3 linked regions of the Anolis sagrei genome follow. The protein of the gene in region 3 purifies or fractionates together with the protein of the main gene of each other region. This does not show direct contact. Links are inferred from orthologs where the notes say so. Each region holds a gene or a part of one and is shown on either strand. Other genes may lie near its edges.

Region 1 (7,155 bases), on a different chromosome or scaffold from region 3:
AGAAATGCGGGGTATAAATAAAGAGAAGAAGAAGAAGAAAGGAAGAAAAAGAAAGGAAGAAGAAGAAAGGAGGAAGAAGAAAGGAGGAAGGAGGAGGAAGAAGGAGGAGGAGGAAGGAGGAGGAGGAAGGAGAAGGAGGAAGAAGGTGGAGGAGGAAGGTGGAGGAGGAAGGAGGAGGAGGAAGGAGGAAGAAGAAGGGAGAGTAAGGAAGAGGAAGAGTAAGGAAGGAGGGAGGAAGGAAGAGGAAGAGTAAGGAAGAGGAAGAGGAAGGAAGAGGAAGAGTAAGGAGGAGGAAGAGGAAGAGGGAGGAAGAGGAAGGAAAAGGAAGAGGAAGGAAGAAGGAAGAGGAAGAAGAAGGAAGAGAAAGAAGAAGACGAAGAAGAAACTGCACAGTTCCAAAGGTAAAGCACTGAGATTTCTCATCTTAAGTATTTCCTTACTGTTTTCAAGTTGTTTTTTTTTAATCATTTTTGCAAAAGTTCCAGCCTTTTACTAGTCCTTTTTGCAAAAGATGCAGCACATGTATGTCCCTTTAGGTCTAGGCAAGCTTTGCCAATCAAAAGTATGATTCTGAATATGATTTTCCTGCTTCTTGGCAGGGGGCTGGACTGGACAGCTCACGAGATCTCTTCCAATTCTATGATTCTATAATTCTTTGATTCTTACTGCACCTCCTACTGGCAGAATACACAAATCTGGGCTTGTAATTACAAAATGTATGTTATTGTTGTTATTGTTAATCATTTCCTTTCTGTTTGCAAGTCTGTCTTGCAAAACATCCACCTCTTGCATCCATGGTACTTTGGGCTTAGTTTGCCAATCAAAAGTACATCTTTCCCTTACAGAATACACAACTTCTATTGTGTATTCTGCTCCTTACAGAATACACAACTTGTATTGCGTATTTGTAGTTGGTATAAACTTTAGTGTGTGTCTTATATTTGACGGCATCTTAGAACTGGAAAAATGTGGTAATGTGAAAAACTTGGTATAGCAAGTTGTTGAAGTCTCATAGTTGTGCTATTCTTCCAGAAAAATACATTTAAAAGGGGGACAAAGAGAAGGATTGAGAGGAGAAAAATTCCAGCAACTGTGGCAAGTGTTGTTGTTGTTCTCCTTCTTCCTCTTCTTCTTGTATTTGTCTGTAAAAGAAAACTCAAAGGTTTCTTCAAGTGCTTGCACATAGATTTGTGCCATAAGATCAGTTTGTTATCCTGGTCTTCCCCAGTTCAAAGCAAAATGGGTTTGCAACACAGAATCCATTTTTAGATCTTTGTTCAGAGAGGTCCTAAGTTTAATGCTCTGTGGTTTTTCCATTGGTGATGTTTAGCTGAACTTACTCGTGAACCCATTAACTTGCTTTAAGTGTTTGAAAGAACCTGTCATCATTATAGGTACACTGCAAGGTAAGTGCCAGTACTCTTCATTGCGGCTGGGTGTCTGAATGTGTCAACAACTTTCTTTCCCTCTTTGGTTCCTTAAAAAGGTCATTTGTGAAGTACGAGAAACTTCATCATTTGGAATTTCTGCTGGTGTTGTTGAATACCGCCTCAAAGTGTATCTATGATACCAGAGTGATTTGTGCTGCTTAATGTCAGCCGGCAGATTAAAAATTCAATTTAATAACAAACCACGGTAGTCTCATCTCCCAAGCAACACAGACTTTGCCTCATCTTTGTTGAAGCAAGCAACAAAGGACTTTATTTCTGTGTAAGCCTTGTAAAAAGAAACAAAGGACTTTATTTGACATGTCTTAATCTGACCCTAAGCTATGCCACTTTTACGAGACTCAACGGGTATCTTCTTCTACCAATTATGCAAAGTTTTAATTGGGAGTGTGTTTAGAAGCCCTTATAGAACGTAGGGGTAAACCCAGGCCCTTTGGGCTCTTTTCTCAGGCCCTCCTGTTTCTCACCATCCTATCCTTCCTTTCTTCTCTCTTTCCTTCCTCCTTCCCTCCCTCTTTCCCCTTCCCTTCCACCTTTTCATCCTTTCTTCCTCTTTTCTTCCTCCTTCCTTCTTTCTTTCTCAATCTCTCCTTCCCTCCCTTCCTTTTGTCCTTCCTTCCTACCTTCTCTCCCTTTTTCCTTCCTTCGCTCCCTTTTGTGTTTTCTTCCTTTTCTCTTTCCTTCCTCCTTCCCTTCCTTTCTTCCTTCCCTCCCATTCTCCTTCCCTTTCCATCCTTTCCATCCTTTCGTCCTTCCCTCCCTCCCTTTTTCTTTACATCCTTCCCTCCCACCCTTTCGTCCTTCCTTCCTTCCGTTTTGTCATTCCTTCCCTCTCTTTTTCCTTCCTCCTTCCCTTCCTTCCATCCTTTTATCCTTCCTTCCCTTTTGTCTTTCCTTCCTTTCCTCTTTACTCTCTCCTTCCCTCTCTTCCTCTTTCTCCTTCCATCCTTCCCTTCCGCCCTTTCATCTTTTCTTCCTTCTCTCTTTCCTTCCTCTTTCCCTTTCTTTCTTCCATCACCGGGCAGCCAGTCCTCCTAGCAGGGAATGATAGCATATGGTCCCCAAGTTAGAAAGTTTGTCCATGCCTGCCTTATAGTTCGATGCTCCAAACTACAGCTTAGTTTGTGTCTAAATCTGTAAACAAATTTATTGTGTGTGGTTTATAGCTATTTCACAGCTGGAGGTCAACTGTGACAAGCAGTGCTGCAGAATTTGAAGAGGCACGAATGGAGGGCAAAAGAGAGAAACGTGACAAGAGGAAGGTGTGTCAAGCCAACCCCGACTGGGGCCGCCTTCCACTTATGAACCAATGCCCTCACTGCCGCCTTCCACTTATGAACCAATGCCCTCACTGCAGGAGATATATTTATTTATCGTGTCATCCACAACCAGAACATTGTATTACATTTCTAACAGAACAAAACAAACAAACAGATAAAAAAACAACACAAATTTTGCAAACTTGGTAGCTGATTAAATGTCCTTTGACCAGTATCTGGCCACTTGGAGTGCCTCTGGTGTTGCCGCAAGAAGGTCCTCCATCGTGCATGTGGCAGGGCTCAGGTTGCATTGCAGCAGGTGGTCTGTGGTTTGCTCTTCTCTGCACTCGCATGTCGTGGATTCCACTTTGTACCCCCTTTTCTTAAGTTTGGCTCTGCATCTCGTGGTGCCAGAGCGCAGTCTGTTCAGCGCCTTCCAAGTCGCCCAGCCTTCTGTGTGCCCAGAGGGGAGTCTCTCATCTGGTATCACCCACGGATTGAGGTGCTGGGTTTGAGCCTGCCACTTTTGGACTCTCGCTTGCTGGGGTGTTCCAGCGAGTGTCTCTGTAGATCTAAGAAAACTATGTCTTGATTTAAGTCGTTGACGTGCTGGCTGATACTCAAACAGGGGATGAGCTGGAGATGTCTCTGCCTTGGTCCTTTCACTATTGGCTGCTACTTCCCGGCAGATGTCAGGTGGTGCAATACCGATTAAGCAGTGTAATTTCTCTAGTGGTGTGGGGCGCACACACCCTGTGATAATGCGGCATGTCTCATTAAGAGCCACATCTACTGTTTTAGTGTGGTGAGATGTGTTCCACACTGGGCATGCAGACTCAGCAGCAGAGTAGCATAGCGCAAGGGCAGATGTCTTCACTATGTCTGGTTGTGATCCCCAGGTTGTGCCAGTCAGCTTTCGTATGATGTTGTTTCTACCGCCCACTTTTTGTTTGATGTTCAGGCAGTGCTTCTTGTAGGTCAGAGCACGGTCCAAAGTGACTCCCAGGTATTTGGGTGCGCTGCAATGCTCCAGTGGGATTCCTTCCCTGGTAATCCTCAGAGCTCGGGATGCTTGTCTGTTCTTAAGGTGAAAGGCACATGTCTGTGTTTTAGATGGATTAGGGATCAGTTGGTTTTCCCTGTAGTAGGCAGTAGGAGCACCTAGAGCTTCGGAGAGCTTCTATTGTACCATCTCAAAGCTCCCTGCTTGAGTGGTAATGGCACGATCATCAGCATAGATGAAACTCTATGTCCCTTCTGGCAGTGGCTGGTCATTTGTGTAAATGTTGAACATGGATTATTATTGTGATGACTCAGTGATGGGAATCTGCGTTCCTTCTGAAGTGTAATACACGACTCGGCCTCGAGGGGGCGCTGTTCGCTAAGGGCGCTGCTGTGCGGCCTAGACGCGAGCGCGCATCCTCGGCCTGTGTTAGCGGAGCAGGCCATGGGCGAAGCCGAGAGCTCGGCCGGGACTGCGGCGGAGGGGAAGCCGCCTTGCCCCGCCGTGGGGACTGCGACGGAGGAGGAAGCCGCGGCGTCCACCACGGCCTTGACGACCTCCTCCTCGTCCTCTTCCATGGCGACTGCGCTCCCCCCGCCTCTGCCGCCTCTCCCCGCGCCGCCCGTGGTCTGGAGCCCCGAGGTGGAGGTCTGCCTCTTCCACGCCATGCTGGGACACAAGCCCGTCGGTGAGAAACAGAGCGAGAAAACAGAGCGAGAAAGGACCAGGCCGCAGATGAAGCCTCGGGCTCGAGTAGCTCCACTGCCCGAGGAGGAGGCGGGGCCGGCTGGGGAGAGGGTGGGAGGGAACTCCGTCTGTGCCTGCCTCTTTCTCTTCGGACTTCAACTCCCAGAAGCCTCTGCCGCTTTGGCCAATCAGCAGGCATTCTGGGAACTGAAGTCCCAAACCCCTGGAAGGCCCATTCGAATGAATGAATACAGTTTGACCCTGTCTTGGGATTTGTACTTTGGCAGAGAGGGGTGAAGGCCTGGTGGAACTACAACTCCCATGATTCCATAGCATTCAGCCATGACAAAATGCATTCAATCATGGGCCTATTGTAATGTTTACACATAACTTACACTCCCCCTGAAGCCACAGGTCCGCAGTTTGGGGGTCCTCTTGGATTCAACGCTCACACTTGAGGCTCAGGCGTCGGCGGTGTCTGGGAGGGCTTTCGCACAACTGAGACTCGTGCGCCAACTGCGACCGTACCTCGCGAAGACGGATCTGGCCGGAGTGGTCCATGCCTTGGTCACCTCCAGATTGGACTACTGCAATGCGCTCTACGTAGGGCTGCCCTTGAAGACTGGTCCAACGAGCAGCAGCCAGGATGTTAACTGGGGCTCCTTACAGAGAGAGGTCAACCCTCCTGTTCAAGGAGCTCCACTGGCTGCCATTTATTTTCCGAGCCCAATTCAAGGTGCAGTTGCTTACCTACAAAGCCCTGAACGGTTTGGGACCAGCCTACCTGCGTGACCGCATCTCCATCTACGAACCCACACGTTCACTTCGGTCATCTGGAGAGGCCCTGCTCGTGATCCCGCCTGCGTCGCAAGCGCGCTTGGTGGGGACACGAGACAGGGCCTTTTCCGTGGTGGCCCCCCGACTCTGGAACACCCTCCCCAAAGACCTTAGACAGGCCCCTACATTGGCTGCCTTCAGAAAGAACTTGAAGACCTGGCTTTTCCGATGCGCCTTCCCAGATTAGGAAATCTCCACTACCAAGTCCCATAAGCACTTTATCAGAACCAATGATTGCTGCACACCGCACATCGCACTTGCCCTAGAAGCCCTATATACACTTTTGATCTTGTACCCATTACTCTGGCCCGGCCCAGTTTTATTGTGTTTAGTGTATTGTGCCTGTTGTTTATTTTGCTTTATTCTGTTTTTAATTGTTTGATTTGCTTAGATTGTATTGTTGTGTTGTGTGTTGAGGCCTCGGCCTGTGTAAGCCGCATCGAATCCTTTGGGAGATGCTAGCGGGGTACAAATAAAGTTTAATAATAATAATAATAACTATTATTATTATAACAGGCCTAGGCAAATTGGGACCTCCAGGTGTTTTGGACTTCAACTCCCACAATTCCTAACAGCCTCAGGCCCTTTCCTTTCCCCCCCTCAGCCACTTAAGCAAGTAATTAAAAAAAACCAAAGACAATAAATTACACAACATTATCAATAAAACAACACATAATTAAAAACAGTGGGAAGGCCAAATGTAGAGTTAAAATTGGAAATAATGCTGGGACATGAACGCAAGGTGATACTGGTGTTTGTGGAAGGGCATATGAGCAGACTTAAAGAAATGTAAAGTGTATTGTCGAAGGCTTTCATGGCTGGAATCACTAGGTTCTTGTGGGTTTTTTCGGGCTATAGGGCCATGTTCTAGAAGCATTTCTCCTGATGTTTCGCCTGCATCTATGGCAAGCATCCTCAGAGGTAGTGAGGTCTGTTGGAATTAGGACAATTAGGACAATATATCTGTGGAATGGCTGGGGTGGGGCAAAGAGCTCTTCCCTGCTGGAGCTAGGTGTGAATGTTTCAACTGACCAACTTCATTAGCATTTGAAGGCCTGGCTGAGCCTGGGAAAATCTTTTGTTGAGAGGTGTTAAGATGTGCCTGGTTGTTTCCTCTCTGCTGTTTTGCTGTTGTAATTTTAGAGTTTTTTAAATACTGGTAGCCAGATTTTGTTCATTTTCATGGTCTCTTCCTTTCTGCTGAAATTGTCCACATGCTTGTGGATTTCAGTGGCTTCTCTGTGTAGTCTGAGATGGTGGTTGTTGGTGTGGTCCAGCATTTCTGTGTTCTCAAATAATATGCTGTGTCCAGGCTGGTTCATCAGGTGCTCTGCTATGGCTGACTTCTCTGGTTGAAGTAAAGTGGTTAAATGTAAAGCGCTTTGGAGGACAAAGTGCTATGGGATCATCCCTATATCACAGAATGTCAAGGCAGAAAATCCAAAAATACCTGCTTTGGACTGGGTTAACTGAGTCCACACTGCCATATATTCCATTTCAAAGCAGATAATGTGGGATTTTATTCAACTGTCTGGAAGGGGCTTAAGGCCCCTTCTACACTGCCATATAAAATCCAGATTATCTGCTTTGATTATATGGCAGTGTCGATTTACATAATCCAGTTCAAAGCAGATAATAAGACTGGAATAAGACTCTGTCCAGTTCTGTGCAAAGCACTCCAAGAAGAATATGGACAAGCTGGAATGTGTCCAGAGAAGGACAGCCTTGATGGCAAAAAAGTCTGGAAGCCAAGCCTTGTGAGGAAAGGCTTGGAGTGCTTAGCTTGGAGAAAAGAAGTCTGGGAGAAAGGAACATGATATCCCTGTTTAAATATTTGAAAGGATGTCTCATTGATGAGGAGGCAAGCTTGTTTTCTGCGGTTCTGAAGACTAGGACATAGAGCAGGACTTCAACTCTCACA
Region 2 (7,876 bases), on a different chromosome or scaffold from region 3:
GATACTCATGATGCTCAGGGATATTTCAAAGCCACAAAGGTAATCTATGGACCAAGAAACCATAGCATACAGCCTCTACGCTCATCAGAAGGAACCAAACTTCTGAAGGAAAAAAAAACCAATTGCACTACGTTGGAAAGAACACTACCAAAGCCTCCTGAATCGCAGCTCCAATGTGGCCGAAGAGGTTCTCTCACAAGTCCTGCAACAACAAACCAGGGATGAGCTTGCAGCACTGCCTAGTCTGGAAGAAGTCAGCAATGCCATCAGCCAACAAAAAAAAAAATAACAAAGCCAGCGGACCTGATGGGATCTTTGCTGAAATCTTTAAAGAGGGTGGACCTGAGCTGACACAACAACTCCACCAGCTCATTGAAAAAGTGTGGGTGACCAAGAAAATCCCAGCAGATTTCAAGGATGCAACCATCATCACCTTTTCTAAAAAAAAAAAAAAAAAAAAGGGGGGGGGGGGGAGAACAGACTGCGGAAACTATCAAGGTATCTCCCTTCTAACCTCCGCTGGGAAAATCCTTGCAAGAACCGCCTTCTACCCCTCTCAGAAGACACCCTCCCAGAATCCCAGAACGGCTTCCGCCCCTCCAGAGGAACAGTGGACATGATCTTCACTGCACGACAACTCCAAGAAAAATGCAGGGAACAAAATCAACCTCTGTACATGGCATTCATCGACCTTGCAAAGTAATTCGACACAGTGAATCACAGCGCTCTCTGGACCATCCTCCAAAAAATCAGATGCCCTAACAAATTTGTGAACACCTTGCGGCTCCTCCATGATGACATGATGGCAACAGTCTTGGACAGCAATGGCTCCCAAAGTGACCCATTTAAGGTGGAATCAGGTGTCAAACAGGGATGTGTTATTGCCCCAACCCTATTTTCCATCTTCATCGCTATGATACTTCATCTTGTTGATGGAAAGCTTCCCACCGGAGTGGAAATCATATATCAGACAGATGGCAAACTATTTAACCTCAGCAGACTGAAAGCCAAAACCAAGGTTACAACAACATGTTATAGAACTCCAATATGCTGATGACAAAGTTGTCTGTGTGCATTCAGAATAAGACCTACAAGCCACTCTAAACACCTTTGCAGAAGCATATGGGAAGTTCGGCCCGTCATTGAACATCGAGAAAACCAAAGTGCTCTTCCAGCAGTCACTAGGCAATCCCTCTCCAATGCTAGAAACACAGCTTAATGGTGTAACATTAGAAAATGTTGACCATTTCCGCTACCTTGGCAGCCACCTCTCCACAAAAGTCAACATTGACACTGAAATACAACACTGCCTTAGCTCTGCCAGTGCAGCTTTTTTCTGAATGAAGCAGAGAGTGTTTGAGGACTGGGACATCCGTAGGGATTTCAAGGTGCTTATTTATAAAGCTATTGTCCTCCCAACCCTGCTATATGCCTGCAAGTTGTGGACTGTCTACAGACATCACATGCATCTCCTGGAATGATTCCATCAGTGCTGCCTCCAGAAAATCCTGCAAATCTCTTGGGAAGACAAGCGGACAAATATCAGCGTGCTGGAAGAAGCAAAGACCACCAGCATTGAAGTTATGGTCCTCCGCCATCAACTCCGCTGGACTGGCCACGTTGTCTGGATGCCCAACCACTGTGTCCCAAAGCAGTTGCTCTACTCCAAACTCAAGAACAGAAATTGGAATGATGGTGGACAGGAAAAAAGATTTAAAGATGGGTTCAAAGCCAACCTTAAACACTCTGGCATAGACTGAGAACTGGGAAGCCCTGGCCCTTGAGCGCTCCAGCTGGAGGTCAGCTGTGACCAGCAGTGCTGTAGAATTTGAAGAGGCACGAATGGAGGGCGAAAGAGAGAAACGTGTCAAGAGGGAGGCACATCAAGCCAACCCAGAATGGGACCACCTTCCACCTGGAAACCAATGCCCTCACTGTGGGAGAAGATGCAGATAAAGAAGAGGGCTCTATAGTCACCTACAGACCCACCGCCACTTATCTTGGAAGACTATCCTACTCGGACAACGAGGGATTGCCTAAGTAAGTAAAGTACAGAAAGGAGATTTGTGGATGAGGAATTCATAATACCCCACACTGTTACCGGGCAGTTTGGGTTGTTAAAAAAAACAACTTTGTAGGTGAGGTATTTGCTCATCTCTGAAACTGGAACTATCAATATATGTATATGAATGCAAAGGGGTCATATAGCATATTGGAGGCTGAGGGCCCTTCCATACAGACTTTAAAGTCCAGGATCTGATCCCAGCTTTTCTGGGATAAACAGAAAACCAGTTGAATCATGTGAAGTGCCTAAGAATAGAACATATGAGGATGCTGTGGACTCTTCTACACTGCCATATAAAATCCAGGTTATATGCTTTGAACTGGATTATTTGGAATATAGACTCATATAATCCAGTTCAAAGCAGATAGTGAATTATCTGCTTTGACATTGACATCTCCGGACCATTCTCTGTTCTGGTATCAGCCAGCAAGCCAACACTTTAAATCAAGAAGCAGCTTCCTAAGATCTACAGAGATACTTGCAGGAACACCTCAGCAAGCAAGAATCCAAAAGTGGCAGGTTAAAACCTGAAACTGGCTGATACCAGATGAGAAACTCCCTCAGGGCACACAGAAGGCTGCGTGACTTGGAAGGCGCTGAACAGACTGCGCTCTGGCACCACGAGATGCGGAGCTAACCTTAAGGAATGGGGCCATAAAGTGCCGCCCACGACATGCGAGTGCGGACAAGAGCAAACCGCAGACCACTTACTACAATGCAACCTGAGCCCTGCCACATGCACAATGGTGGATCTTCTTACAGCCACACCAGAGGTACTGCAAGTGGCCAGCTTCTGGTTAAAAGAAATGTAGTAGAATGCCAAGCTTTTAACTTTATGGTTTTTATATGAATTATAACTGCATTCTCAATTCACTTCTGGCACAATAAATAAATACCCAAACACCACAGTTCAACAATAAGTAATAAGTTTATTAAGAAAAAGGTATATAATAGAAAAGATAGTTTCAAAAATAATCCAGAAGTAATTCCAAAATTAGCAGACTAAGCAATCACAAAAGTACAATAAAAAAGCAGACTGTAAATACATTTTCAAAGTTATATCCATAAGCTCGATATTCTGGAGCTGTTCTACTCCAGAAACTTCATTTTTGTGGCTGTCACAAACTAGGTTGAATTGGTTGAGACTCTATGACAGGGGTCCTCAAACTAAGGCCCGAGGGCCAAATACGGCCCTCCGAGGTCATTTACCTGGTCCTCGCTCAGGGTCAACCTAAGTCTGAAATGACTTGAAAGCACACAACAACAACAACAACAACAACAACAACAACAACAACAACAATCCTAACCAATCTTGCCAAGAAAACCCTGTGACAACAACGGTTACCATTAGTCGAGAACCACTTGAAGGTACACATGGTAGATGCAATGCACAGCAGTTAGTATTCCTCTATAACAGACATTGGCAAACTTGGGCCCTCCTGGTGTTTTGGACTTCAACTCCCACCATTTCTAACAGCCTCAGGCCCCTTCCTTTCCAGTTCGGCGCGAGGAAGGGGCCTGAGGCTGTTAGAAATGGTGCGAGCTGCAGTCCAAAAGACCTGAAGGGCTGAGGAAGAAATGGAAAGTGCCTGAGGCTGTTAGGAATTGTGGGAGTCGAAGTCCAAAACACCTGGAGGGCTGAAGGAGAAAAGTGCCTGAGGCTGTTAGGAATTGTGGGAGTTGAAGTCCAGAAGACCTGGAGGGCTGAGGGAGAAATTGAAAGGGCCTGGGGATGTTAGGAATTGTGGGAGTTGAAGTCCAGAAGACCTGGAGAGCTGAAGGAGAAAAGGAAAGGGCTTGAGGCTGTTAGGAATTGTGGGAGTTGAAGTCCAAAACACCTGGAGGGCTGAAGGAGAAAAGAAAAGTTCCTGAGTCTGTTAGGAATTGTGAGAGTTAAAGTCCAAAACACCTGGAGAGCTGAAGGAGAAAAGGAAAGGGCCTGGGGCTGTTAGGAATTGTGGGAGTTCAAGTCCAGAAGACCTGGAGGGCTGAAGGAGGAAAGGAAAGTGCCTGAGGCTGTTAGGAATTGTGGGAGTTGAAGTCCAAAACACCTGGAGGGCTGAAGGAGAAAAGGAAAGTGCCTGAGGCTGTTATGAATTGTGGGAGTTGAAGTCCAAAAGACCTGGAGCGCTGAAGGAGAAAAGGGAAGGGCCTGAGACTGTTAGGAATTGTGGGAGTTGAAGTCCAAAACACCTGGAGAGCTGACGGAGAAAAGGAAAGGGCCTGAGGCTGTTAGGAATGGTGGGAGTTGAAGTCCAAAAGAAGTGGTGGGCCCAAGTTTGCTCATGCCTGCTTTATAATTTTCCCTACAATCCAGTTTTAGTGGAACCTACAGCCCTTTTAAGTATTTTGGACTTCAACTCCCAGAATTCCTGAGAGTGGTCCACGCTGGCAGGGGCTTCTGGGAGTTGAAGTCCCCAAGGACTAAAACGCTCAGAAGAGTTTCTCTTCACAGGAAAGTGGGGAAATTTATATATTTTTTAATTGAGAAAAAGGAACCAGCTGCAAAGAGGAGAGTGGGGATGTCTCTTTATTGAGTGGTGATGGGAGAGAGAAACGTTCCAGGCGGGGAAGGAGAGCAGAGAGAGGAAAGAACAGAGAGAAACGCCTCTGGGGGCTCAGGTGGGCGGGGCCTATACGGGACAGTTCGGCGCGAGACGCTCCGAACGCAAGCCCCTCCCCCTCCCTCCTGCTCGGCTTCCTATTGGTCCTCCCGGGGCGCAGGGGGAGCCGCCTCATTGTGCCGATTGGCTGGTTTGACGACGCGAGGCCCCGGATGACGGGACGTTAGAGCCGCCTATAAAGGGCTCGGGGAAGGCGGGAGCGGGCGCAGTTTTGAACTGGCGCCGCCGTCTTCGCATCGTCAGGGAGGTCTGCGCTCAGTTCTGCTTTCGTGTGTCTCATTCCAAGGCCTCATTCGAAATGGTAAGCGAGGGTGAAGCGGATCAGGGCAGATTAGGGGAAAGAAAGGGGAAAAAATTGTGAAGGGAGCGCGTGATGCGCCCTAGTCTCGTGCTGTCGGCTGCCTGGCATAAGGAATACCCGGATGGGGAAAGAAAGAGGGAGAGGCTAGAGGACAGTGAGGGGCGCGGTGGGAGAAGAGTGACGCGCATGCGCCCGGGAGTAAGGCTCGTGGAGGACCTACCGCGCATGCGCCTCGGCTCCGACGCCTTATAGAATGGGGGGGAGGGAATGCTGTGAAGAGGAGACTGCGCACGCGCGGGCCTGCCTACCTCTCGCGCGCCCTCTCCGCCCCAAGCCCTTGCGTCACGTGGGAGCCAGCCCGCGGCGGGGCGGGGGTGGTTGCTAAGGAGGAGGAGGCCACGTGTTGACTTGCCTTGCCTCTTCTGCTTCTTTCTCTGTGCTCTTCTAGGCCGGTGGCAAAGCTGGGAAAGACTCTGGGAAGACCAAAACCAAGACGGTGTCCCGTTCACAGAGAGCTGGCTTGCAGGTGGGCACTTGGGGGGTGTTGCAAAGCGTTCGGCCTTGTCTTGCGTCCTTCTAGGAAGGAAAAAGTTGATAGAATCAAAGAGTTTATTTATTTATTTGGGGTTCTTTTACCCCGCCCTTCTCACCCCGAGGGGGACTCAGGGCGGCTTACAAAGGCAAAGGCACAATTCGATGCCTGCATCATAAAACAATCATACACAAAATTACAACAATTCATGCATTATAACCATAAAATCAATAAAACCAATACAAACCCAGTTTCGCCTCTTACATGGTCAGCGTTCGCTAGCTCATAGATCTAGTTTTACATTCCACTTCATCAATCCTGTTGGACATACTCGCCTGGTTGTCTGATTTAATTGCCAGAGTGCCCAAAGGCCTGGTCCCATAACCACATCTTCACCCTCCTGGAGGCGAGGAGGGATGGTGATGCCCTGATTTCCCCCGGGAGTGAATTCCACAGGTGAGGGGCCACCACTGAGAAAGCCCTGCTCCTCGTCCCCACCAGCCTCACTTGTGACAGTGGTGGGGTCGAGAGCAGGGCCCCCCCCAGATGATCTCAGACTCCGGGTGGGACGTAGAGGGAGATACGTTCGGACAGATACACTGGACCGGAACCGTACAGGTTTTTGTAGGTTAAAACCAGCACCTTGAGTTGTGCTCGGAACTGAGTTGGGAGAGACCACGTCCAGTCCCAACCCCCTTTCCATGCATTAAGATGCAGCCCCAATGGAAAAGGCACGGGCAAACTTCGGTCCTTCCTCCAGGTGTTTTGAACTTCAACTCCCACAATATATTGTATTTTTATTTATTTATTTACTTCATTTATATACTGCTTTTCTCAACTCTTAGGCAACTCAAAACGGTTAACAACAGCAATTTCAATACACACATTACAAAACCATTGGAGCATTTAAAAACAAATAGCATAACAACAAACATCAATATTTATTTATTTATTTACGGCATTTATATGCCGCCCTTCTGACCCCTAAGGGGACTCAGAGCGGCTTACAATATATATTTTAGGTTCTTCTGGTTTTTTTCGGGCTATAGGGCCATGTTCTAGAGGCATTTCTCCTGACGTTTCGCCTGCATCTATGGCAAGCATCCTCAGAGGTGGTGAGGGTGCTTGCCATAAATGCAGGCGAAACGTCAGGAGAAATGCCTCTAGAACATGGCCCTATAGCCCGAAAAAACCCACAAGAACCTAGTGATTCCAGCCATGAAAGCCTTCGACAATACAATATATATTTTCATACAATATATTATATTATTAGCGTAGTACAATATCAGTATAATATTAGTATATTGCACTGTACCATTATATTGTATTACATTATAATATTATAAATATATGTATATATAATATACTATATTATATTATTAGTAAAGACAAGATGGAAATCATTCACGTCTCATCAATAGAATCAGAATCCAATATCATCATCCGTTACTCCGTGTTCCTATAATCAATTACACTGCCTAATCGAATGCCTGTTCGAACAACCGGGTCTTCACTTTCCTCCGAAATGCCAATAAGGAGGGGGCCAATCTGATATCTGTAGGAAGGGCATTCCACAGCTGAGGGGCCACCACTGAAAAGGCCCTGACTCTCGTCCCCGCCATTATAATCAATATAATATTGATTATATTATCAATATTATACACATATAATATTGATAATGTAATACAATATGATTCTAACAATATAGTAATTGTATATTTTATATTACAGTATAGTGGTATAGTACAATATGTAAATAAAAATGTAATGTTCGTTTGTGGGAGTAACATAGCTCAAAAACCACTGGACGAATTGACACCAAATTTGGACACAATACATCTATCAGACCAATGAGTGACCATCACTCATAAAAACACTGAAAAACCCAGCAGAAAAGACTCAAAAAAGCAAAAAAAAAATTACAATTCATGTACATAACCACATATATACACACACAAAACACATACACAAACTGGCCATAGCAACGAGTGGCAGGGGATAGCTAGTAGTAATATGTAATACTAATGTACTGTGCTAATAATATATTATATACATGTATAATATTGATAATATGTAATGCAATATAATACTAGTAATACAATATAATTGTATATTTCATATTACATGTAACATTACTAATAATATTACAGTATATTGGTATAGTATAATACAGTCATATAATAATAATGTGCTGTTCTAATAATATGTATTGTATGTACATATAACTTGTAAGCCTCTTTAAGTCCCCTTCAGGGTAAAAAGGCTGCTTATAAATGTTGTAAATAAATAGAATTCCTAACAGCCGGAAGACTGTTAGGAACTGTGGGAGTTGCCTTCCAAAACACCTGGAGGGA
Region 3 (7,592 bases):
TGGCTGTCTTTTAGGCCCTCGTCATCCACAGTCCTGCTGAAGTGACCCTTGTTGACCAGTGCCTCAATTCAAGGATTTTCTTTACATGGTCTCAGAAATTAGAAAGTGCACACTGCATTGTAGAGATTTATATTACACCTAATTACTAACCATAGAAACTGCAGAGGCAAAGATCGTGAAGGACAGTCCAAGTCTTCACCTCATCTGTCTTCTTACTTGGCTGTAGTTTAAACACTTGCAGGAAGTTACAATAAATCAACATTTTCATCAGACACTACTGTGTCAGAGTGCTGCTAAAATATGATGAAATACATGTACATAACAAACACCTACCATTTTGGAGCGAATCTAATCCAGAAACACTTCTTTGCCTGTGTGTTTTCTGAGTAGAGATTCTTTCTTAAGCAAGGGATATTTTGTCATAACTTCTCAGTATATTCTACCCTAACTGCTGTCTTTTACAGTAAATTTAACACGTTCCACTTCCCTTTTATTAAAAGTAAAGGTTTTCCCTGACATTAAGTCTAGTTGTGTCCGACTCTGGGGGGTGGTGCTCATCTCCATTTCTGAGCTGAAGAGCCAGCGTTGTCCGTAGACACCTCCAAGGTCATGTGGCTAGCATAACTGCATGGATTAGTTACCTTCCTGCGGTACCTATTGATCTACTCACATTTTCATATATTAGAACTGCTAGTTTGGCAAAAGCTGGGGCTAACAGCGGGAACTCACTCCGCTGCCTGGATTCAAACTGCCACCCTTTCAATCAGCTCAGTGGTTTAACCTGCTGTGCCACCAGGCCCTTTTATTATGCTTCTCAAATTAGGTGGGCAACCCCATTTTGGAAGTTGTATGTGGTTATGTGCTTCTCAAAAACTATTAATTATAACTGGTTTAAAATGGAAGATTTTAATTCAAAAGACGTAAGAAATATTAGCTTAGTATTTCATATTAGGTGTAGTTGGGGAGAAAATATCAAGTGGTTGCAACCCAAGGGTCCCATCTACACAGTGTAGGCCAGACATGGGCCAACTTCAGCACTCCAGGTGTTTGAACTCCCAAATCCCACAATTGTGGAAGTTCCTTCCTTGGAAATTTTTAAGAAGAGGCTGGATGACCATCTGTCAGGGATACTTTGATTGTCCTTCCTCTGCATGGCAGGGGATTGGACTAAATGTCCCATGTAGTCTCTTCCAACTCTGTTATTCTATGATTCTAAAGCAGGCCTGGGCCAACCTCGCCCCTCCCTCCAAGTGTTTTGGACTCTTAACTCCCACAATTCCTTAAGCAGCTGAGGGGGAAAAGGAAGGGGTCTGAGGCTGTTAGGAATTGTGGGAGTTGAAGTCCAAAACACCTGGACAGCCGAAGTTGGCTCAAATTACAGGAAAGGAGATTCCACCTGAACATTCTTTTATTTAATTATTTATTTAAAACATTTATATTCTACTTTTCTCACCTTAAAGGGGACTCAAGGCAAACATTCAATGCTGGAACATAAAACAAACTATAAATATACAAAAACACTAAAATAAATTATCTCCACTTTAAAATCAATTGTTTTAAACCATCTCATCTCATATTAGGAAGAACTTCCTGACCGTATGAACTGTTCGGCAGTGGGACTCTGTGCCTCGGAGTGTTGCGGAAGCTCCTTCCTTGGAAACTTTTAAACAGAAGATGAATGGCCATCTGTCAGGGATACTTTGACTGTGCTTCTCTGGCAGGGGATGTCCCATGCAGTCTCTTCCAACTCTTATTATTATTTTTTATTCTACAACCAGTAGCTGAGCATAGTGGCCATATACTAAAATTAAGGGGGGAGGCAGGGTTTGTGCAATACAGCTGCAAGGACAGGGCTGATAGAAAAGTGCAGAAGCCAGATGATATGTTTTGACTAGAAAGCCCAAGTCAATTCATGTAGTCAACTACAACTACAGGGGCAGGGACAATGGTAGAGTGCAGTAGCCAGATATTAAGTTATGGCTAGAAGGGCCAAAATTATCTAGTGAACAGGTTACTCAGAAGCACATTGGAATATACACGTCCCCCCCCCCCCCAGTTTAAGCAGCTAAAGGGGAAAAGGAAGGGACCTGAAGCTGTTAGGAATTGTAGGAGTTGGAGTCCAAAACACCTTGGGGGCCGAAGTTTGCCCAGGCCTGTTTGAGCAATCCTTTGCCGCAGAGCGATATAAGGGAGCATCCTATGGTTCTAGAAAAATAATAGGAATTGTTGAAGTTGGGAGTCCAAAACACCTGGAGGGAAGGCCAAGGTTGGCCCAGGCCTGTTGTAAAGGATGCTCAACTTGGAACAGTCCTTAGGCGCGGAGCGATATAAAGGAGTATCCTATGCTCCTAAAATAACAATATAATAATAATTTTTGGATTTAAAATGGGGGAAAAAAGCAGGATTCTATCTTAGAAGTTTCAAAAGTGAGAAGTGTGTTAACCAGGCCTGGGCCAACTTCGGCCCTTCTTCCAGATTCAGACAGGCTATATACTCAGTGTTAAGGCACTACAACAGGCATGTGTAAACATCGGCCCTCTAGGTGTTTTGGACTCCAACTCTCACAATTCCAAACAGCTTCAGGCCCTTCCCCCCACCCCAGCCTCTTATTTTAGAACAGGCCTGAGCAAACTTGGGACCTCCAGCTGTTTTGGACTTCAGTCCCCACCATTCCTAACAGCCTCGGGCCCCGTTCTTTTCCCCCTCAGTTGCTTATGCGGCTCTAGAAGAATATTATATATTCTATATAATATTATAGCAGGCATGGGCAAACTTGAGCCCGCCAGGTGTTTTGGACTTCAACTCCCAACCATTCCTGACAGCCTCAGGCCTCTTCTTTTGGACTTCAATTCCCACCATTCCTAACAGCTTTGGACTTCAACTCCCACCATTCCTAACAGCCTCAGGCCTCTTCTTTTGGACTTCAACTTCCACCATTCCTAACAGCCTCAGGCCTCTTCTTTTGGACTTCAATTCCCACCATTCCTAACAGCTTTGGACTTCAACTCCCACCATTCCTAACAGCTTTGGACTTCAACTCCCACCATTCCTATCAGCCTCAGGCCCCTTCCTTTTGGACTTCAACTTCCACCATTCCTAACAGCCTCAACCCCATTCTTTTGGACTTCAACTCCAACCATTCCTAACAGCTTTGGACTTCAATTCTCACCATTCCTGACAGCCTCAGGCCCCTTCCTTTTGGACTTCCAACTCCCACCATTCCTAACAGCTTTGGACTTCAACTCCCACCATTCCTAACAGCCTTAGGCCCCTTCTTTTGGACTTCAACTCCCACCATTCCTAACAGCTTTGGACTTCAACTCCCACCATTCCTAACAGCTTTGGACTTCAACTCCCACCATTCCTAACAGCTTTGGACTTCAACTCCCACCATTCCTATCAGCCTCAGGCCCCTTCCTTTTGGACTTCAACTTCCACCATTCCTAACAGCCTCAACCCCATTCTTTTGGACTTCAACTCCAACCATTCCTAACAGCTTTGGACTTCAATTCTCACCATTCCTGACAGCCTCAGGCCCCTTCCTTTTGGACTTCCAACTCCCACCATTCCTAACAGCTTTGGACTTCAACTCCCACCATTCCTAACAGCCTTAGGCCCCTTCTTTTGGACTTCAATTCCCACCATTCCTAACAGCTTTGGACTTCAACACCCACCATTCCCAACAGCCTCAGGCCCCTTCCTTTTCCCAAAGGAGGGGCCTGAGGCTGTTAGAAATGGTGGGAGTTGGAGTCCAAAACACTTGGAGGGCCCAAGTTTACCCAGGCCTGTTCTAAAATAAGAGACGGGGGGGGGGGAGGAAGGAGTATAGCCGGTCTGAATCTGGAAAGAGGGCGGAAGTTGGCTTAAGCGGCTTTGGAAGAATATTTGACAGGGTCTATAGCAGGCATGGGCGAACTTGAGCCCTCCAGGTGTTTTGGACTCCAACTCCCACCATTCCTAACAGCCTCAGGCCCTTTCCTTTCCCCCCTCAGCTGCTTTACCTAGACCTGTTCTAAAATAAGAGGCTTAAGCGGCTGAGAGGGGAAAGGAAAGGGCCTGAGGCTGTTAGGAATGGTGGGAGTTGGAGTCCAAAACACCTGGAGGGCCCAAGTTTACCTAGGCCTGTTCTAAAATAGGAGGCTGAGGGGGAAAGGGGGGGGCCTGAGGTTGTCAGGAATGGTGGGAGTTGGAGTCCAAAACACCTGGAGGGCCCAAGTTTGCCCAGGCCTGCTGTAGTGCCTTAACCCTGAGTATATAGCTGGTCTGAATCTGGAAAGAGGGCCGAAGTTGGCTCAGGCCTGGTGTCCAAACACAAGGTTCCCCCGTCAATTCTATAGAATGGCTTGATGTCACAGAGGACGAAATAACCGTCGGGTTTTTCAAAAATCTTCTGGGCGAGAGGTCAAAAAAAGAGGGGGGGGGGACCCCTTCCAAAGTGTGTTTGTGAGGCGGTGCGAAGCATCGCGCCTGTTTCTTTCCAAGCTCTCTCTCTCTCTCCCTCCCGCCAGCCTGCCGCTCGTGCCCGCGCGGTCTCCTGTTGCGCGCGCCCCCTCCTGTCGGCGCCGTGCGCGCGCCCCTTTGCGCGATGCAGTGTGGGAATGGCTGTGGCGCTGGGGTTGGCTGGAAGAGGCGGCCAGTCGAGGAGGTTTAATGTCCGCCATGTTGGCCGCGGCGCGCTGAGCGGAGCCGGAGCGGCGAGGAGGCGGAGGAGGGCGGCGGCGGCGGAGGAGGAGGCGGCGGAGGAGAGGAGCACTCGGCGTCGCCCGGGCCGGGCTCTCCGCGCGGAGCAGCAGCGCCGCCTCCAGCCCCCCTCCCCCGCCCGCCTCCTCCTCCTCCTCCTCCTCCGCCGCCGCCATCATCATCATCCCTGCCGCCGACTAGCATGAGCAAACTGTCGTTCCGGGCCCGGGCGCTGGACGCGTCTAAGCCGCTGCCCGTCTTCCGCTGCGAGGACTTGCCCGACCTGGCCGAGTATGCCTCCATCAACCGGGCCGTGCCGCAGATGCCCACGGGCATGGAGAAGGAAGAGGAGTCGGTACGTGAGAGAGAAAGGAAAAAAACCCCTCCCGCCGCCATCGCCGCCTCTGCGCAGGCACAAAATGGCCGCCATTCCCCCCCTCCCGCCGCCCTCGCCCTCTCGAGCCCTCTCCCTCTGCCTTGAGGAGGAGGAGGAGGAAGGGAGCGGGGAGACAGCGAGCCAGCCGGGCCCCTCCGCGCGCCCTCGGGGTCGCCCTCCCGGCCTCGCTCGCTCTCGGCCCCCCGAAAGGCACAAAGGGCGTCACGTGACGCGACGGGCGGGCGGCCGCCATTTTGTGGAGGCGCTCGTTGGAAGGGCTGGGCCTGGGAGAGGGAAGGCAGGCAACGCTAGGTGGCGCCTGCGCCTCGCGCTCCCAGCTGGGGAGAAAGGAAGTCCAGGCTGGCCATGTGGTGTTGCTGCTGCTGCTGCGCGCGCCCCGCGTGTTCTCCTCTCTTCCCAGGCTCGCACTCCAGGAGTGGTCCCCTCACTTTTGGGCCTCCAGGTGGTTTGGGACTTCCAACTCCCAGAAATCCCAGCCACCTCAACAGCTTTTATTTCACTCGTATCAAACACATTTCAAAAAATTAGTATATACTAATTTTTGCATAGTATATACTAATGAATATATAAACACTAAACAATTCAAATAAACAAATGCAGCAAAACACTATGAAGATACTAAAAGACTCTCCAGGTGTTTTGGACTTCAACTTTCACTGTTCCTGGCTCTTTGGAATTGTGAGAGTTGAAGTCCAAAACATCTGGAGGGCCAAAGTTTATGAGGTAGACATAAAACATACCTTGTATAGCAGGGTTTCTCAACCTGCGGGTCGGGACCCCTGGAGGGGTCGTGAGGGGGTGTCAGAGGGGTCACCAAAGGCCATCAGAAAACACAGTATTTTCTGTTGGTCATAAGGGTTCTTTATGGGAAGTTTGCCCCAATTCTATTGTTGGTAGGGTTCAGAATGCTCTTTGATTGTAGGTGAACTATAAATCCCAGCAACAACAACTCCCAAATATCAGGGTCTGGTTCCTCCAAACTCCACCAGTGTTCACATTTGGGCATATTGAGTATTTGTGCCAAGTTTGGTTCAGAGCCTTAATTGTTTGAGTCTACAGTTCTCTCTGGATGTAGATGAACTACAACTCCAAAACTCAAGGTCAATGCCCACCAAAAGCTTCCAATATTTTCTGTTGGTCATGGGAGTTCTGTGTGCCAAGTTTGGTTTGATTAGATCATTGATGGAGGTTAGAATGCTCTTTGATTGTAGGTGAACTATAAATCCCAGCAACGACAACTCCCAAATGTCAGGGTCTTTTTACCCCAAACTCCACCAGTGTTCACATTTGGGCACATTGAGTATTTGTGCCAAATTTGGTCCATTGAATTAAAATATGTCCTGCAAATCAGATATTTACATGACGATTAATAACAGTAGCAAAATTACAGTTAGGAAGTAGTAAAAAAAATTATGGTTTGGGGTCACCACAACATGAGGAACTCCATTAAGGGGTCGTGGCATTAGGAAGGTTGAGAAACCCTGTTGTATAGTATATACTAATTAATATATAAACACTAAACAATTCAAATGAACAAATGCAGCAAAACACTAAAACACCCTCCAGGTGTTTTGGACGTCAACTCTCACAGTTCCTGGCTCTTTGGAATTGTGAGAGTTGAAGTCCAAACTATCTGGAGGGCCGAAGTTTATGACATAAAACATACCTACTTATTATTATTATTTATTGTTCTTATACCCCGCTACCATCTCCCGCAGGACTCGGTGCGGCTTACAAGAGGCCTAGCCCCACAACATCACAAAACAACCACAACAAAACAATGAAGATTTGGAGTGTCTACTGGGGTGCAGGAACTAATAATAATAGGGTTGCTGTGAGTTTTCCGAGCTGTATGGCCATGTTCCAGAAGCATTCTCGCCTGACGTTTCACCCACATCTATGACAGCTATCCTCAAAGGTTGTGAGGTATATTGGAAACTAGACAAGGTACTTCACAACCTCTGAGGCTGCCTGCCATAGATGTGGGCGAAATATAAGGAGAGAATGCTTCTGAACATGGCCAAACAGCTCGGAAAACTCACAGCAACCCAGTGATTCTGGCCATGAAAGTTTGTGTTTATAGACTCTCTGGGTCGGCTTGCTAGAATAGACAGGCCTACTCTGAGTTGATGGTTTTGACCTTTAAACCCTACATGGTTTGGATCCAGGTTACCCGCCCACACACTTTGGTCTTCTGGGGGGTGTCTTAAGACTTGTGTCTTAAATTCTGACAGCTGATCCAGGTGTCAGAGCTCTATGGGCAGGTCGTTCCACAGCCTTGTGGCGTTCGATGAAAAGGTTGTCTGGGTGGTGGCTGCCACTCCACTCGGGTTCTGGCTGGTTGGAGCAGACACCCCCCAGAAGACCAAAGTGTGTGGGTGGGTAACCTGGACCCAAACTATGTAAGGTTTTAAAGGTCAAAACCATCAACTTGTTCTTTGCCCAGAAACTAATTGGAGTGACTTTAGGATAGGTGTAATATGCTCACTCCTAGATCTTCCTGTAACCAAACTAA

Evidence for each region.
Region 1: the proteins of EPC1 (region 3) and MRGBP purify together in Homo sapiens (affinity purification with mass spectrometry; 6 studies listed by BioGRID and IntAct, counting the BioPlex papers as one, with this or other methods). This does not show direct contact. The link is inferred for Anolis sagrei from reciprocal best matches to the Homo sapiens genes EPC1 and MRGBP.
Region 2: the proteins of EPC1 (region 3) and H2AZ1 purify together in Homo sapiens (affinity purification with mass spectrometry; 4 studies listed by BioGRID and IntAct, with this or other methods). This does not show direct contact. The link is inferred for Anolis sagrei from reciprocal best matches to the Homo sapiens genes EPC1 and H2AZ1.

What each region holds. Positions count from the first base shown.
Region 1 is NC_090024.1:234,248,593-234,255,747, forward strand, and holds the start of MRGBP (MRG/MORF4L-binding protein), read left to right. Parts: upstream 1-4,087; 5' UTR 4,088-4,154; coding exon 4,155-4,398; intron 4,399-7,155.
Region 2 is NC_090025.1:26,582,904-26,590,779, reverse strand, and holds the start of H2AZ1 (histone H2A.Z), read left to right. Parts: upstream 1-4,845; 5' UTR 4,846-4,987; coding exon 4,988-4,990; intron 4,991-5,438; coding exon 5,439-5,516; intron 5,517-7,876. UniProt on the Homo sapiens protein: Variant histone H2A which replaces conventional H2A in a subset of nucleosomes. Nucleosomes wrap and compact DNA into chromatin, limiting DNA accessibility to the cellular machineries which require DNA as a template.
Region 3 is NC_090026.1:112,421,144-112,428,735, reverse strand, and holds the start of EPC1 (enhancer of polycomb homolog 1), read left to right. Parts: upstream 1-4,566; 5' UTR 4,567-4,882; coding exon 4,883-5,035; intron 5,036-7,592. UniProt on the Homo sapiens protein: Component of the NuA4 histone acetyltransferase (HAT) complex, a multiprotein complex involved in transcriptional activation of select genes principally by acetylation of nucleosomal histones H4 and H2A.